4 linked regions of the Drosophila melanogaster genome follow. The protein of the gene in region 1 interacts with the protein of each later gene in a pairwise test. Each region holds a gene or a part of one and is shown in the gene's direction. Other genes may lie near its edges. The genes, in order: Cpr50Cb, Eglp4, ksh and Argk1.

Region 1 (4,584 bases):
CGCAGCTCAAGTGTCACGGAAATCTAAAGTTAAAAGTAACCAAAAGTTGTTCAATTACTTTTCACAGCGGTCCATTGAAGATTGCCAGCAGGTGTAAGCGGCGCTGATAGAGGTAACATCTTAGGTACACGAAATGTTACCTTGGAAAATGGGTACCAAACTAATAAAATCTAATAAAATTGCTTATAAAAATAAGATATTGAGATATTAGAGTATCTTTAAGATTGCAGCTATTGAAAACTAATACCATATCTAATATTACAAATATATAATATTATATTAATAATAGTTTTAGTCATAGCCCAGTGTAATTGGTAATAACATTTCGATTTTGGTACAAGATTTTCGCATCACTGATTATAAGATGGGTTGATTGTAAGTGTAGCTATTTTCGATTGATTGCTCCCCATAATAATTTCAATATCTAATTTTAATATCGCACGCACGCACACATCGCCACCTCGCAAGTGGTCAATAAAAATGTGAAGAAACTCTGAAATCAGTCATCGGATTGCTTTTAATTGTTATTTAATCTCGGCTCGTACAGAGGCGCTGTGATACATTCAAGGTTAATTGGTTATGGGATGGGATTTGAGGCCTGACGGAAGAAAAGGAGCCATGCGGTTGATGTTGGTTGGAAGGAGGAAGTTGGCCCAAAGGCACTCGACACGTCTGCCAGCCTTGTGCAATGGCCAATGGATGAGTTTCGGGGCCTCGGCTACGGATCTTTGGCATGAGCCTCACGTCATAGATTGCATTTTGGCAGAGGTGCTGCGGGAAATTGGGACGCCACATGAACACGTTTGTGCAGCTTGTGCAATTTTCCCCGGGCAACCGCATCACGTACTTCTCACCAAACTTATTCTATGTTCTGATGCTTTCCCAAAGGCCAAATGGCAAAAAAAAAAAAAAGAAGAAAAAACAAACAAAAATAAATATATAGATATTTCGAAAAAGGGCGACTGTATCTTTGGAGGCTAAAACGAAACCTATCATCTGACATTCCCAGTGACATTTTCGTATCGTCTCGATGGCAACTGCATCGCCCGAGGGCCCAGACTTCATAAAAGCTTGGCTTAAATATCAAATTTGGCCGAGTATTTAATGAAGTCATTCGGGGCGTTGCAGGCTCTCCACTCGAACTCATCTTGTTATACATCCGCCCGAGCTTCATCATCATCGTGCCAGCCATTCATTTATCATCTCGTTACCCATCATCGTAATGATCGTGCCACGGCGATGATCTGCAACATTTTTCACCACCTCAACACCAAGACTTGGCCAAAACGGTGAGAGCAACGCTGCGCTCTCTTTGGGCCATTCTGAGAGACTCGTGGATGTGGATGCTCTTGGCTCCAGCTCCACGGAGGCAGATGATCTAGAAGTTAGGCGCTAGACTTGCCTCAATTGTTCAAACCGCTTTTTCGTTACTTTTAGGTGCAGTTGGCAACGCGAACGCCGCTGCTACCGCCGCTGCCGCAGTCGCCGTCGCCGCCGACGTCGCTGCCAGCGTCTTTGAGCGTTTATTATAAAAAGCAAGCGCATCTCCATTGTCTAACCTAATTCAAAACGTTCGTGTACTTCGTGCGGTTGTCTAGGAAATCAATCTAGCCGAACCTAAAAAGATAAAACCACCTCCTCTTTAACTGAGGCCCCCTCCTAGTTGAGAAATCCAACCGGTGATAAAAAAATAAAACCCTCCCCCGCCCGGTGAAAGTAAGAGTTAATACAACTATTGTGGCAAGCGAAGGACTACAAATTAAATAGTGTGCAATAATCATAAAAATAACACAAAAGACACTCGATTAACTCGAAACAATATAAATGAAATAATTGACAACTCTAATGAATTTAATTTAATTCAATTCAATTTCAACTTCAGCCAGCGGCGTTTGTGGATACACTACTTTTTGCCATCGTCTGTGAACGTAAAATCGAAACTCAACTAACAAAATGATGTCCTTCAAGTCGTTCGTCCTGCTTGTGAGTATTTATACATACGTACATAAAACAAGGACATGTATTTCTGGGCCTGGAAAAAAAAAACATAGCTAAGCCTACATAAATCAGTTGGCCAAACAAATCATATGAGATTTCGCAGGCGTGTCCTTTGGCTAAAGCGAAACTATATATGTATGTATGTTTGCATGTATGTGTATGTGTGTGGAAAGGCCAGCAAGCTAAGCTTGTTATATGTCAAATTTGTTTATCGCTGGCAGGGAAAAATGACCCGTGGTCACTCAGTGTCCTTTTTCGTCTACAATGTCATTTTTCTGCTGCGGCTTTTGGGGAAAGTTTAAATGAGATTTGCTAGGAGAACTGAAGGCAACTACCCATCAAACTGGTTGTTTCAAGTGCCTGGCAAACTGTTTGCCTTCCTTTTTTTTCGTTTTTTTTTGGTAACACTTGCCGTCAATGGCAACGAAAATGATTGCATAACTTGCCACACGTCTGCCACAGAGCCTCTCATCATCATCATCATAATCAAAACCCAAGTCCACACACACACACACACGAAAGTCAAGTGGCGAAGGGGCCAAAGTAACCCCGCCGAATCGAACAAATTGCAAATAATCAAAGACACTTAAGTGCTCCACTCCGCTCTGGTTAATATATATATATATATATACATATGTACTTGTACGTACTCCTCCATGGATACGCATTCAATATTTGGCAACATCTGCGTTTGCCAAGTGCCACGTAAAATACGCCCCAAATCTAAGCAATACTCCCTGATTGTTCCTAACTAAACACTTGAGTTTCGGAGAAGGCTAAAAGGTTGTAAGGCGGAGGACACATGTTGGTAATATATTTCCCCTTTCGTATTTAGGCATCATCTGAGGAAAATTGCAAACCTTTTTGCTCCCCTTGAACAATTGCAAATATATAAGGCTCCAACTTGACTTTATTTTGTAGGCAAACTTTTCTTAGCTGGTGCTAAATTGACACAAGTTTTTTTTCATCAAATTGTTGAAAAATATACTTTATACTTTACTAATATAGTTTCGTAAAAATATTTATATAATTTGTTTCAAATTGCTGTAAATTGACACAGAAAGAGTTGTGCAACTAAGAAATTTCTAGGTGATCCAAAATCCTTTCTGTTACCTATTAATTTACACATTTCGCTTTGGAAATTCTCCATATTCTCACAATTTTATTGTGAAATTACAGTATTGAATACTTTTCCTGGAAGTCCAGAAGTTAACCCGCAATCAAGAGCACACTTGTAAACTGCGAAATACTTTCACTTGTTCGCCATTGTTAAAGCATTTTGAATCGCGTTTTGGGACGACGCCCTTAAGCAGGCAACAAAATAAAACAGACGCGAGTTTCGCTGGCTGCTCCTTGATGTCCTTTTATTTTTTGTAACTGGGGCGTGTTAAATTGTTGGTGCGACACTTGGATGCAATGCAGGTCCAGACGGCAGACCACACTGTCTGGAATCCATCCAATGTACCTCCGCCCATTCCGCGTTACGTGAGCACACAGGAGAAAAATTAGATTTCTTCAAAAACCAAAAGTGTCTAAAAAGATTGAGATATAAAATTATATTAATAGGTACTCAATGAAAGCCATTCAAATGTATGAAGATTTTCAAAGAAGACATAATCAATATCTAATTAAAATTTAATTGGTCATACATCATGTAATTACTCGAATGAATTTTTACGATTAACGTAATCGTGATTAATGGACGAGCATAACTAGTAGTTAAAATAAACGCAATATATATGCAATGTTTGAGGCCAAAGTGTTAGATCTTAAATGTTCTTCTATTAGCCATGTTTTTTTTCAGCGGTTTTTCTCGCAGTGCACTCCTCCATCTCTGATGCGTCTGGTCTGCCAAGCAGATAACTTCCAAAAGGTACACCAGACGATAGCAAAGGAATAGAGTTTGAGAGCAGAGTGTAGAACTCCAGCCAGACGCGTGTAATTTGCCGCTTGTAACTTTTTGACTTTTCACCAGCGATTCTCCATTTCCCCAATGCCGCTATATTCCCCTTATTTTCTTCTCCTTTTTTTTTACCATTCTTGTTTTGGCCCGAACTGGGCGAATAACAGCAGGCACGGAAGCGTACCAAGCCAAAAATAAAAACCAGGAGCCCAACCACCCACTGCCACATCCGCCCACCAAAAGGCAGACACTCGATAGACAAATGGCCGCTGGCCAGTCGAGTGCACGGGCTTTTGAGAACATCGGGGCGAGCATGTTTTACATGTTAATTTCAGCCCGGGGGAGACTCAACTGGCCAACTACCCAGCTAGCCAACTATAGGGTACAGAGTACGAATACGTCGAGCACCCACACCAGCTAGTAATGCCCAACTGCTGCTGCATATTAATGCCCATGATTCCAGCTGCTCATTTTCGCACGCGAAAATTGCAGAACTGGTGGCAAAGAATTCGAGAAACGATTGGTAGCATTGACTGGCATTCATTCGGGCACGCTTTTGAATTTCAAATGACAAACCTAAAATATTCACAGTTTGATATTTGAGTCCGTCCGATGATGGTGCTGCTGCTGCTGCTGCTGCTGATGATGATGATGAGCTGGCAAAAGCCGAAAGTCGAAGCTGC
Region 2 (3,493 bases), 9.8 Mb from region 1:
GACGATCCAATTGTTATTGAGACACATAACTACGCAAATTGCGTGCAATTTGATCGACAGGCGTGCCGAGATTTGCCGTGATTTGTTTGCCACATTGCGTGGTAGCCCGATTCACGCAACGCATCCTCAATTGCAGCAATTGCAATTGATAGGAATCGAAGCGACGGTGGTAATTGATAGTGTGCCACTCTGCTGTTATCAATACGCAATATGCCGCCTGCTTCAATTGCGAGCGCGTCACGCACTTGCACAGCATAACAGTGTTATGCCCACCGCCCACCGACCAACTACACTGAAAATAATTATGGGGATTTTCGCTATCAATTACAGTTTAGTGCTAAGTTTGAATGACACGCAATGAAAATGTCGTATTTTAGGAACTATGGTTACTACTAATTCTAGCAATCATTGCTTAGCAGATTTGCCTTTCTCATGGCAAACAAATAGTAAGAAACAAGTTAAATGAAAATGATAATTTACTTAAAAAACAAATGTAAGGACCACCTTTAATATTATAATTCTCATAAAATGCTGTGAATAAGTCGAATGAATTCGATAGAGCAAAACCAGTATGTCAGTTGCACACCAAGTGTTAATATCTAACCTTGTTTCCATGGAATATCATCCGTATTGTTTCTACCATTTTATAATGATTTAAGCCAGGTGACTGGTAAAGGAAGAGTGGGAGCGAGAAGGAGCATCGCTCCAGAGATAATCGCAAAAGCGAACGAGAGCAGCGAATGAGCGTTTAAGATGCTCATAAATTCTGGACACTTGACTTTTTTATGCTCACCAGTAGGATTCGCTAATTTCCACGCCTTTGTGTGTGTGTGTGTGTGTGTGTGCTTGTGGTCGGTCCCCTTCATATGTGTGTGTGTGTATCTGTGTGTGTTGCTGCTCTCTCACAGGGGCTAAAAATGGGCTTTTGATTTACGCAATATTATATAGACACAGATATAAATATTTGCCTATGGCTACTCCACCGCCTCAGATTGACATTGACAGTCGCGCTGCCGCTTTGTGAATTTTCACCAGCTACGGAAAAGATTGATTATATAGTGCGATCTCAAAGAATTGGACAAGTGTCAAAATGAGCCACGAGATTCGGTAATTATCTGGCACTCGAAACCAAAGAAATTCAAAAAACAAAAAACAAGAGTTCTGGCTACCAGAAAGAGGGATTTACCAATCACAATAAACGGATTAATTCGCAACGTAGTGAACTCCAATTGACTCGAGTGGCGCTCAGGCGATAAGGTTGAAAAAGATTGGTTATTGTTTTATGGCCATGTCGTGATTTGATTCGCATTTTTTCGGCCATTTATCTATAAACCCAATTGACAGCCGAACGGCAATCACAAGTCTACTATATTTAGTACACGGCTACTTCATGTCAGTCCAGCCATCGATGGCATTCCCGCAGCAGGCATCGTTTGTCGGATCAGCAGCATAAGTTGTGCTTCCAAAAAAGGGTGTTTGGAAAATCGATGCCAAGTCAATGAACCTCGAGCAGCAGGGGATGGATCCGCAAGGGGTGGAAAACCAGCAGGAAATCGTCCAGGCAGCCGAAGGAGAACAGCAGTTGCAAAGGTCTAGAAGCTTGACAAACTAACTACAAAGTTGCACAATAGTTGAGATTGTAGAAGTGTGTCGCGGGGATTAGGTGCAAATCGAGGAGGGCTTTGCGAAACGATAGGATGGTCTTAGATAGGATATGATTGATGAAGTTCCTAAGCAGGTCTACTTAGAGTCGAGAAAGAGATGGACGATGGCGTGCGACAGAGAGGGTAGCTCGCTTTTTAGTGTGGCATTATTCAAGCGCTTCTCTGACCATTTCAGTTGCTGTAAGGTCTTCAAAATGAAGGGATCGACGCTGGACAAAATCTCCGCCTTCCTCGGCGAGCTCATCGGCACCGGCATCCTGGTCTTCCTGGGCTGCATGGGTTGCGTGAAGACGGACCTCTTTCCCAACAACCATCTGCAGATTGTGCTGAACTTCGGCTTCGCCGTCCTCATCGCCATCCAGTGCTTTGGCTGCGTCTCCGGTGCCCATCTGAATCCCGCCGTGACCGTGGCCGCCTACATCTACGAGATGGTCACCCTGCGCATGGCATTTGCCTACTTCGCCGCCCAGATGCTGGGCGCCTTCATCGGCTACGGCCTGCTCATGGTCCTGCTTCCCTCGCCCACACTTACGGTGGGCGCTGGGCTCTGCGTGACCTTGCCCCACACCAGCGTAACCACGGGCCAGGCCCTCGGCATCGAGTTCGTAATCACCTCCATCCTGGTCATCGTCTGCTGCGGAGTGTGGGATCCGCGCAACTCCAAGTTCCATGACTCCGTGGGCATTCGATTTGGCCTGGCCATCGCCTGTCTCGCCTGCGCTGCCGTAAGTTAAAGCGAACAGTTGGCTAATCCTTACCTGCCTCGAAACGGATTATTAACCTCGTTCCCTACCATTGGTTTTAGGGTCCCTTCACCGGCGGCAGCATGAACCCGGCCAGGTCGTTCGCCCCCGCCCTGTGGAACAAGCACTTCGAGAGCAACTGGATCTACTGGCTGGCCCCGCTGAGCTCCTCCGCCATCACCGCCTACGCCTACAAGGTCGTCTTCCGCCGCGAGGTGGTTGAGGCGGAGATCACCTCCAATGAGAAGCTGCGGCAACTGGAGGACGTCCAGCTGTCGTAAGGCCAAAGACATTGCTGTAGGAAAAGCCCTAACTAATTTAGTTAATATCTAAGATGCCGAATTTTAAAATAATGCATTCGTTGTACGCTAATGTTAGCAGTGTCTTCACAAAGTGGCTCGAACGTTTCAAAAGGCGAACCAAGTGCACACACTTACATAAGCCCTTGAAACGATAAACGTCTTGGTGAAAACACTAATTGCCTTCAGAAATAAAGAACATCGAGATTTTTAATCTAAAACCAAAACAAAACAAGTAAATTATTTTTATGGTTTTAAGAAATTCTACACAAGATATTGGTAGTTATTTGATACCTGAAGTTCTGCTCTTCTGGGCCATCTTAAAACATGTTGAGTCCATATTATCTAAAAGCTTTTCATTCTTCAATAACGAGGTATTTGCTTTGATTAGCTCTAAGTAACTTCCGGGCTTAAAAATACCAATAAGCTTTTTCCAGGAATCGAAAGTGAAAAAAGCCCATCAGCTTAAGCGGTCTTTGGAAAATCTGTTCATAAGATATTCGAATATCTTAGTACCTCCAAATCGACCAATCAAATGGTGGCTAAAAAACGTTATCAGCAGGCTGCGAATGAGACGCGCGTATCAGCCAAATAAAGCCAAAATATACCAACAATATGCAGTTATTGTACGTTACGTACTCCATTCGGGTCTATAGTCCGTATACGAAGCACAAATGATATATGTGGTTCTATGTGGTTTAAAGGGGACTATGTGCTATGGGTGATATGCTAATGCTGGATTTGCATCACTCTTCTGGAATTTCTGGAAATCACGGGGTGATTCCTT
Region 3 (2,784 bases), on another chromosome or scaffold:
TAGAGCGCGACTTTTTTGCATTGCATTGGTGTGTTATCGGTGTCGGTGGCCGCTCTGCGCATGTGCGTAGTGTTTTGGTGTTCGCGGGTGTAGGTCCATGGGTGAATGTGTCATGAAAGCACTGGAAGAGGATATAATAATGCAACTCACCTCCGGTTCGCAGCACTTTAAACCGTAGCACTTTAAAATTGGGGGTGGGGTTAAAAGAGCATATACTGTTTGTATTTTACACTTTTCACTCACGATTTACCGCCCCTCGAGTGGGGCACTCCGATAACTTTGGCGCGGATCTATGCGAGTGGCCGTCACTGTGCTGTTAGCAGCTAACAGTGCTGTAATCGCCGACGTCAACGATACACGCAAGTGCGTGTGTTTGGCGCGCGTGCGGGTGTGTGTGTGTACTTACATAAATACACATGCAAGGAACCGATTCGCGGATCATAGCTTAGCTTAATATTGCAGTCGGGAACTTACCGCTTTGCCAGTGCAGCGACTGGAAGTCATCGCTGCTGCTGCTGCCACAGAATGTTATTGTTTTTCTTGTTGCAGTTCCTGTTTGCCTCTCTGTTGCTCCGGCTGCTGTCTCGCTCGTGTTCCCTCTCTCTTACTCACTCGCACTTAACAACAAAACCCAGCGCGCTCGTCACACACACACTGTATTACTGATTTAAATACACACGCACACACACCGACAGGGGGGGCAATGAGAAAACGTATCCGATTATTATATATATGTACATGTATATCTAAATATACTTTTGATTTTTATGAGCGCGCTCAGTTACAATTGCATTGGCAGCACCATCGTATTCACAGACGTACACGCACACACATTGGGGATGCACTCGGTCGGGATTCTCCGCTCCTGCTCCCCTCCTTCATCCCCTCGCGATACCAAGTGGAAAACGAAAACGGGCCACAAAAATGAAGAAAAGAGCCAAGGAAAACGCAAAAGCACGGGCGGACTTAAAGCCAAATCGAACGATTTACTGACGCTCGCCGAGAATTGGCCAAAGCTCACCAATCGGAACAGCAAGACACTGATTTGCCAAGCGGGCGATCGAAATTGATCGGATTATATGTAACAACAAACACAAAAAAAATACCCGCAGCGAATTAGAAGTTGCAGACAAATTGCTAGAGGTGGCCCACTGCGTCGATGTTTATGCGATACTATGTGCGATAAGTGTGGACCCATCGATTGCTGTTCCGCGCCAGTCGATTGAATTCACTTGACCTAATAGCCCGATTCCATTGGCACATATTTCAATTGGGGGAAGCTCCACTGCCAACGTTAATTGAAACAAAGTCTTATCTTATTTCATTTACTTGACCCACGGTTGGATTGCAATACAAGTTCCGATACTATCGAAATTAAGCTTACGTTTTTTTGTATACGATGTCTTTTGTAAACTCTTGCACTTTTCAATACTTCCTATGGCGTTTTTATGCTCCCTGTGGGAACTTGGCTAAGAGCTTGTTACTTTCTATTGTAAAATATTTATCCAATGTCCATCCCAGATAATGGAAGTAGGTCGCCAAAATATGTATTTAATATAAATATATTCTTATATTAACTCCTAAACATTGTAACATTCCTTATCATTCTAACAGTTGATTAACCACCTATCGAATCAGTCGAAACGTGAGATTCCAGTTTTGGAACCAGTTCGCCTGCGCCGAGCGGCTGGCACGTCACTAGTTTACCGCTTGTTGTTATTCTATCGCCAAGCACGGATTTCGATTTGCTAAATCATGGTTTGAAACGCTCACCTAACCGATACTCCTCCGTCGTACACTTAGCACCGTTTCCCTCCACAGAGCGCCCTGTTCAACTTCCACAGCCTGCTGTCGGTCATCCTGCTGCTGATCTGCACCTGTGCCTACCTGCGCTCGCTCTTCCCCAGCTTGATAGACCGCAACAAGACCGGGTAGGTGCCCGTTCCCGCCCTGACCAGTCCACTGATTGTTACCACACTCAACACTCGTCTGCTGTCTGTTTGCAGATTCATGGGCACCTTCTGGAAGCTGGCAAGGATTGGGGAGCGCAAGTCGCCGTGGGTAGGAGCCGCCTGCCTGATCATGGCCTTCACCGTTCTCTTTTGGAGCTGAGCTCCTGCATCCCGCATCCCCTCCAGGAGCCGAATGGCACCATAGATTAGATATTCCAAACTTTCTAGGACTGTAAATACACGCTGCGTTCTGCAGCACTGGCCGCACATTTCGGGCTTTCCCAACACTTGCTGTTCTGTTCTGTTCTGTTTCGCGCTGGCTAAAAATGTCTGGCGAAGATGTGGACGAGAAGCGAGAACAGCTGCGTCTTTTTGTGACAGCCAGCAGGAGGCGTCTCCACGTCATCCTGCAGCGCTTCGGTTGGAGCGAGCGCGGGGTGATGGGGGCGGGTAGCCACAGACCACAGGACAAAAACGGCGCAACTAAATCGGAGGTGTTAGAGCCATTGCCATTGCCGGCGTCATGCAGCAACAATCCCGACTTTAGCATCCAGCTCGATGACTCGACTATTCAGGGCATTGTGGGCACCGAAAGAGCACGACGCCTCCTTCCTGCTGCCTCCTTTGATGATCTGCAGGCAGGACTCGACGCGAGTCAGCGGCTGCTCATCTACGAGCACGTTCTAAAGCACACCAAGAAGCACCCGCAGTTCCAGGACAACACCGCCTTCGCCGAGGTGGTGGGCGAAACCCGGCGTCAGCAAAAGAATCATCGGCGCCACCGCAAGAGCAAGCCCACGCTCAACGAGGAGCTGCACCAGCTAGTCAGCCT
Region 4 (4,846 bases), on another chromosome or scaffold:
GTGATACAACAAGATCCAACAAAAAGGGCAAACGACAACCGACAACACACAAAGATAACACCAACACATTAAACTACAAAAACAACAGACAAGCCAATTCGAAACGTGTGCGACCAACAAAAGTATGTTAACAACCTTTCCGGAACTAAGAACCAGTATAAGTACCGACCGGACCATCTGAAATGAAATGGCCAACGAGAAGAATTCAAAATGAACTATAGGAGATCGGATCAGATCCAGTAGTAGCTAGCTTAGCGGGTTAACGAAGGACGAACGCGGGGGAACCAAAGTTTTGAACCGAAGTGTTTGAGTGAATCAACAGCGTGCGGAATTAGATTGATATTCCAGTCAGGATGAAAAGTGAAGATGAGAATGATTCAAATGTTAAATTATATATCGATATGTAGTAAAATAATACACATACAAAATGCACATAGCTTAAAATATATGAAAGCAAGCGTTTTATTCAAAGTCAATTTCCATTTGATTTGCAATGATTATGTTTTGTGCAAGATTTTAAAGCTTAATCAACCGAGGCCAACAGCAGTTTGTGTGGCATATGCAATATCATTACAATGTAAGACAACCAAGATATATAAACCAATTAAAGCGTAGCAAACAAAATGCATTCAATTGAAAAACCAATAAAAAATGTTTGAAACTTAAATCAAAATTGTGCTCCTAATTATTTACGGAAGGGGCTCGAAAGTTATCCTTTTCAAGTGCTTTAATCTTTATTTTCGTTGCATACTTCATGGGTTGTGTTATACAATATTTAGTGCTGTAGGCCGAAGGTAGCCGATTAAAAGTACATAATTCGTGATAATAAAAACTTTTTGTCAACAAAAACAGAACACCCACACTCGCAGGAACTTCCGCTGAGCAACGCAAGCGCTCCAGGATGTTTTCGAGCTTTTCTCAGTCCTTGAACTTTTGACCTTGTTTCTGGTCGCCTTTCTCGCTGCCGCGGTTATGTAAGCAGCTGTACGTATCATTATGCAACCTGGTCCACGGGATTCACGGACTCTGTGCGCTTGCCATTGCATCTTTGCCGTTGCAGTGGCTCTCAAACTGCAGAGTCTTCGGCGAGCGATAAGACCCCAATCATCATCACCCAGGCCAATTAAGTGGGCTTTGCAAAATAGATAGCGCTGTTGAATGAATGACTGAACAGTACGCTCGAGTTTATTATCTGGATTTATTTGCCCACGACAGACAACCGGCGAAAGGCGTCAGCAGCGCTTTTTCGACCAAATTTGATAGTTTTGGCCTGGGCCAAACGCTGCAGTAAGCAAAATAAATAGTAAACATTGAACTGATAGTGCCAATTGGAAAAGTGACTCGTCCAGTGCCCAAAAACTGTTTCCGAAAATTCTTTTCTTTTATTGATTAGGCAGCCTTTTGACCAGGTTCAACGCGATTATTGACACATAGCGGTGGCATAGCGTAAGCCTATGAGTAACATTCCGAATCGGAGAGTACACGGAAATAAATATTGAAATCGTGCACAGAGAAAAATAATTAATTAGTTACAGAAAATTCATAGATTTACTATTAGTTATTACTACATTGAAATATCTACATTTAATTATTTGCTAGTGTCCTCTAATAAATATGTATATCCTTTATAGTAGTTAACTCTGAACCCTCTCTGTTGGAATCTGATTAAAGTCTTCTAAGTTTTTTTCGGGTGTACCTGGCACAGAACCCGTGGGTTCGTTGGGAAACGAATCTCGTGAGAAAAGCTTCGTCGCAAGTGCAGCCACAGCTAGGAAACATTGGCGTCGGCGCTCTCCGTGCTCCCCATTCTCTTTGGGGCTCTCTCAGTTGGATGCCGTCGTAGCCGTAGTCTCGTCGCTTTTGCCGCCAGTAGAGCAGTCGATTTTCGCACGGAGCACGACAGTCGAAAAAAACTTGAAAGAAGCATTCAACAGCAGAAGAGTGCCAGTCGAGAGAAAATTAATTTTGTACCTTTACTCAAAATCAAACAACACACAATCGAGACCAGTCCTCGATATTTGACCAGCTGTGAAGCATTTAAACGAAACGAACCTTTTGATATACGAAAAAATCGAACGGAAAACCCTCCGGAAAAGCACTTGCAACTTTTTCTAGTCGTTTTATTATCCAACACAGGCACAAAAGGTGAGTGCACGCAGAAGGGGTCATGCTGCAAGTCCCCAGTTGTTTGTTATGTGTGGCATGCTGCAACAGTGAATGAGTGTTATGGGAATGAGTGTTCTTAGGCACCACCACCCACCCATTTTCCACGCCCCAGCCACCCACTCATACGTTTGCCGTGCGATGTGACGTAACTGTCAGAGTCTGAGTGTGCTATTACCATCGCAGATTGCTCATACGCCGCGTGTGCAAAAGAAAACAAACGCAGACGGAGCTTCATGGTGAATTTTGCTTGCCTTTGCTCAAATCCGAGGGATAAACAAAGCTCAGGGGACTGCAAACAGTGCGCAAAATAATCATATTTAATTGATCGATGGCAGCACTATCTAAATTTAGAACCCTTTCGACCATTGGGCGCCATCCGGTGCACAAAAAGTTCCCCTTTTTCCGAATTGATCTGCAGTGCACAGAGGAAAATTTGCAATTTGTTTGCTTGTGAGAATACATATTAAATGTTATGACATATCTTAAAAATAAACTTTGCAAACCAAATACTAGGCAGGTGCCTCAAATATTTCATATAAAGAAACTTTCATTTATAACTTTTTAATTGAGGCAAACTTTAATAATGTTGGCGTTAGTAGGCTTCAATTGGGGAGGAGTTTAAATAAGAAATTCAGAAATTCAGAAATCAAATTTATGACAAAACATTTTCATTTTCCCATTTATGAGGTTTTTTCTGTGTACTGTTTCCCATCTCTGGCCGTTTGCCCAAAAGTCTCGACTTCACGTGCCTCGGCGCTCAGCGTTCTGCGAATTTGGCATTCTGCATTTTGCATTTGCAAACCCATGCGCGCTTTTGTTTATAAATAAACCTTGAATAATGCCGGCATATATTCACTGCTGTCTTTTCGCCTGTTCAACTGTTTTTTTATCTGTGTGCCTTGGGTCTTAATTGAGCTCTGGCTCTCTGGAACTTACTTTTCTGATGAGCGCCTCGCTCGATTGAGTTTTTTTTTTTTGCATTGCTTGACGGCGACGTCATTTGTTGCGCTTTTCGAGGTCGCTGGGTGAATCAGATTCAGTGCCAGTCCAACAAGTGCATGTGGTGTGGAAATTGCCATTTATAGTCCAATTAATTCGTATACATTAGCGGTCAAATTGCTTTGAAAATCACTTAACTATTTACTCATTCGATCTTCTCTCAATTTCAGCTAATACAAAATGTTCGCTTTGTGGTATTTAACTTTTGCTGTCGATGAAATACGGTAAGTGCAAAAGGGGTTTTCCACAGTTTGGCAAGCACTGCTGTGCCCCCCACAGGGCGGATGAACGTTTTGTGTTGCCTACTTTTCGGCTGGGTAGTGTTAATGGTGAATTGTAGTTTGGGGGCGTAATGAGATCCTTTTTGGAGTTAAGCTTAAAAATATTCTGCAATTCAGAAAAAGGTCTAAGTACGTTTTAAATGAAAAGTTTCTGGTATGTGATTCGAGCTTTGGGGGATTGGGTAATACAAATAAATTTACTGGCTTTTAATGGTTATGCAATGCTAATAACAACACCTTCACCAAGCAAAGCTACTTTCTTGCATTTCATAAATCTTGGCGATAACAGTAGTCGCACTTTTGGGACGCAATCATTGCAAACCCGATAATCTTATCGCTATCAGTTGTTGAATTAGACCAATTTAGCTCTACGTTTCCGTGATCGTTATGGTTCGAAGGTGCTAATGCGACTGTGTGTATAATTTTCCTGCATTTGGCAAGAAAGTTAGTCACCGAGCGGTGTCACATGATGAACTATCTGTCCGTTTTCCCATCTCCCACTCCCCCGATCTCGTCGAATACCCCAGCCCATAACAACCGGCTTTTGTGGCTCTAACTCTCATTCGTGATAAGTGCAATCGGCTGATCGCACACATTCAAACATTCTCTGATTTGCACATGTGCAAAACAAAATTCGCATTTTTTTGGCAAAAAAATAAAGAAAAAAGCGTCCAGTTGTTATCTGCCGGCAATTAGCGTAATAACAAAAGTGATAATTGAAGTTTGGAGCGGTATTAGTTTTTTTCGTTCTCATCCATACAGCCGGCATTTGGGGCCGGTATTTTGCCGATTTGCCGATTTTATGCCGGGTGGAGCTCGTTTGTTTGCTTATCAATTTGCCGCACGAGTTTTTCGTCAGCTATTGCCGTTTTGGCCTACGTGACAAGAGAAATGACGACGCCGGCCCAAAGAAATGGGGGAGTGGAGAAAGTAATTTCGTAACTGGGGAAATGGGTGGGAAATAAGAAATTGTGGTTACAGTTCTAAATTACTGCCATTTGTGGGCATTAAAGCACTGAAACATTTGCGTCTAAGCAACACGCCCACCAATAGGCTAACGCCTTTTGGCAAAGTACAATAAATAACTGGCTCTATTTTGTTTTCTTATCTATAGGGCATTATAAAAGAACTATGATTAACTCTATAACAAAAGCTAGAAAGTGCAGTATTTTCATACTTTTCAAATTTAAATCAATTTCAAAAACCAGGGCTGCCTTAGATCCTTCCAGTGTGACTCTACGAACTACTAAAAGGCTTCATTTACTTTTAATTATATTAAAATGCATATGATTTACTGCAATTACTGCATATTGAAAAATCGTTATTTGCGACTATATTTGTTTTCAAATATTTATCGAAATGTTATGGAGTATAGGGATACACCAATGATTTACAAGGGC

What was found.
Region 2: the proteins of Cpr50Cb (region 1) and Eglp4 interact in a two-hybrid assay, tested with the Drosophila melanogaster proteins (one large-scale study listed by BioGRID).
Region 3: the proteins of Cpr50Cb (region 1) and ksh interact in a two-hybrid assay, tested with the Drosophila melanogaster proteins (one large-scale study listed by BioGRID).
Region 4: the proteins of Cpr50Cb (region 1) and Argk1 interact in a two-hybrid assay, tested with the Drosophila melanogaster proteins (one large-scale study listed by BioGRID).

The regions. Positions count from the first base shown.
Region 1 is NT_033778.4:13,793,223-13,797,806, forward strand, and holds the start of Cpr50Cb (cuticular protein 50Cb), read left to right. Parts: upstream 1-1,554; 5' UTR 1,555-1,716; intron 1,717-1,882; 5' UTR 1,883-1,953; coding exon 1,954-1,983; intron 1,984-4,584.
Region 2 is NT_033778.4:23,607,028-23,610,520, reverse strand, and holds Eglp4 (entomoglyceroporin 4), read left to right. Parts: upstream 1-1,590; 5' UTR 1,591-1,714; coding exon 1,715-2,389; intron 2,390-2,469; coding exon 2,470-2,688; 3' UTR 2,689-2,929; downstream 2,930-3,493.
Region 3 is NC_004354.4:19,493,874-19,496,657, reverse strand, and holds ksh (kish), read left to right. Parts: upstream 1-1,665; 5' UTR 1,666-1,755; coding exon 1,756-1,758; intron 1,759-1,821; coding exon 1,822-1,931; intron 1,932-2,006; coding exon 2,007-2,112; 3' UTR 2,113-2,238; downstream 2,239-2,784. Other genes in the region: CG12204 (uncharacterized protein), read left to right, coding at 2,279-2,784.
Region 4 is NT_037436.4:9,063,007-9,067,852, reverse strand, and holds the start of Argk1 (arginine kinase 1), read left to right. Parts: upstream 1-1,825; 5' UTR 1,826-2,145; intron 2,146-3,335; 5' UTR 3,336-3,345; coding exon 3,346-3,389; intron 3,390-4,846.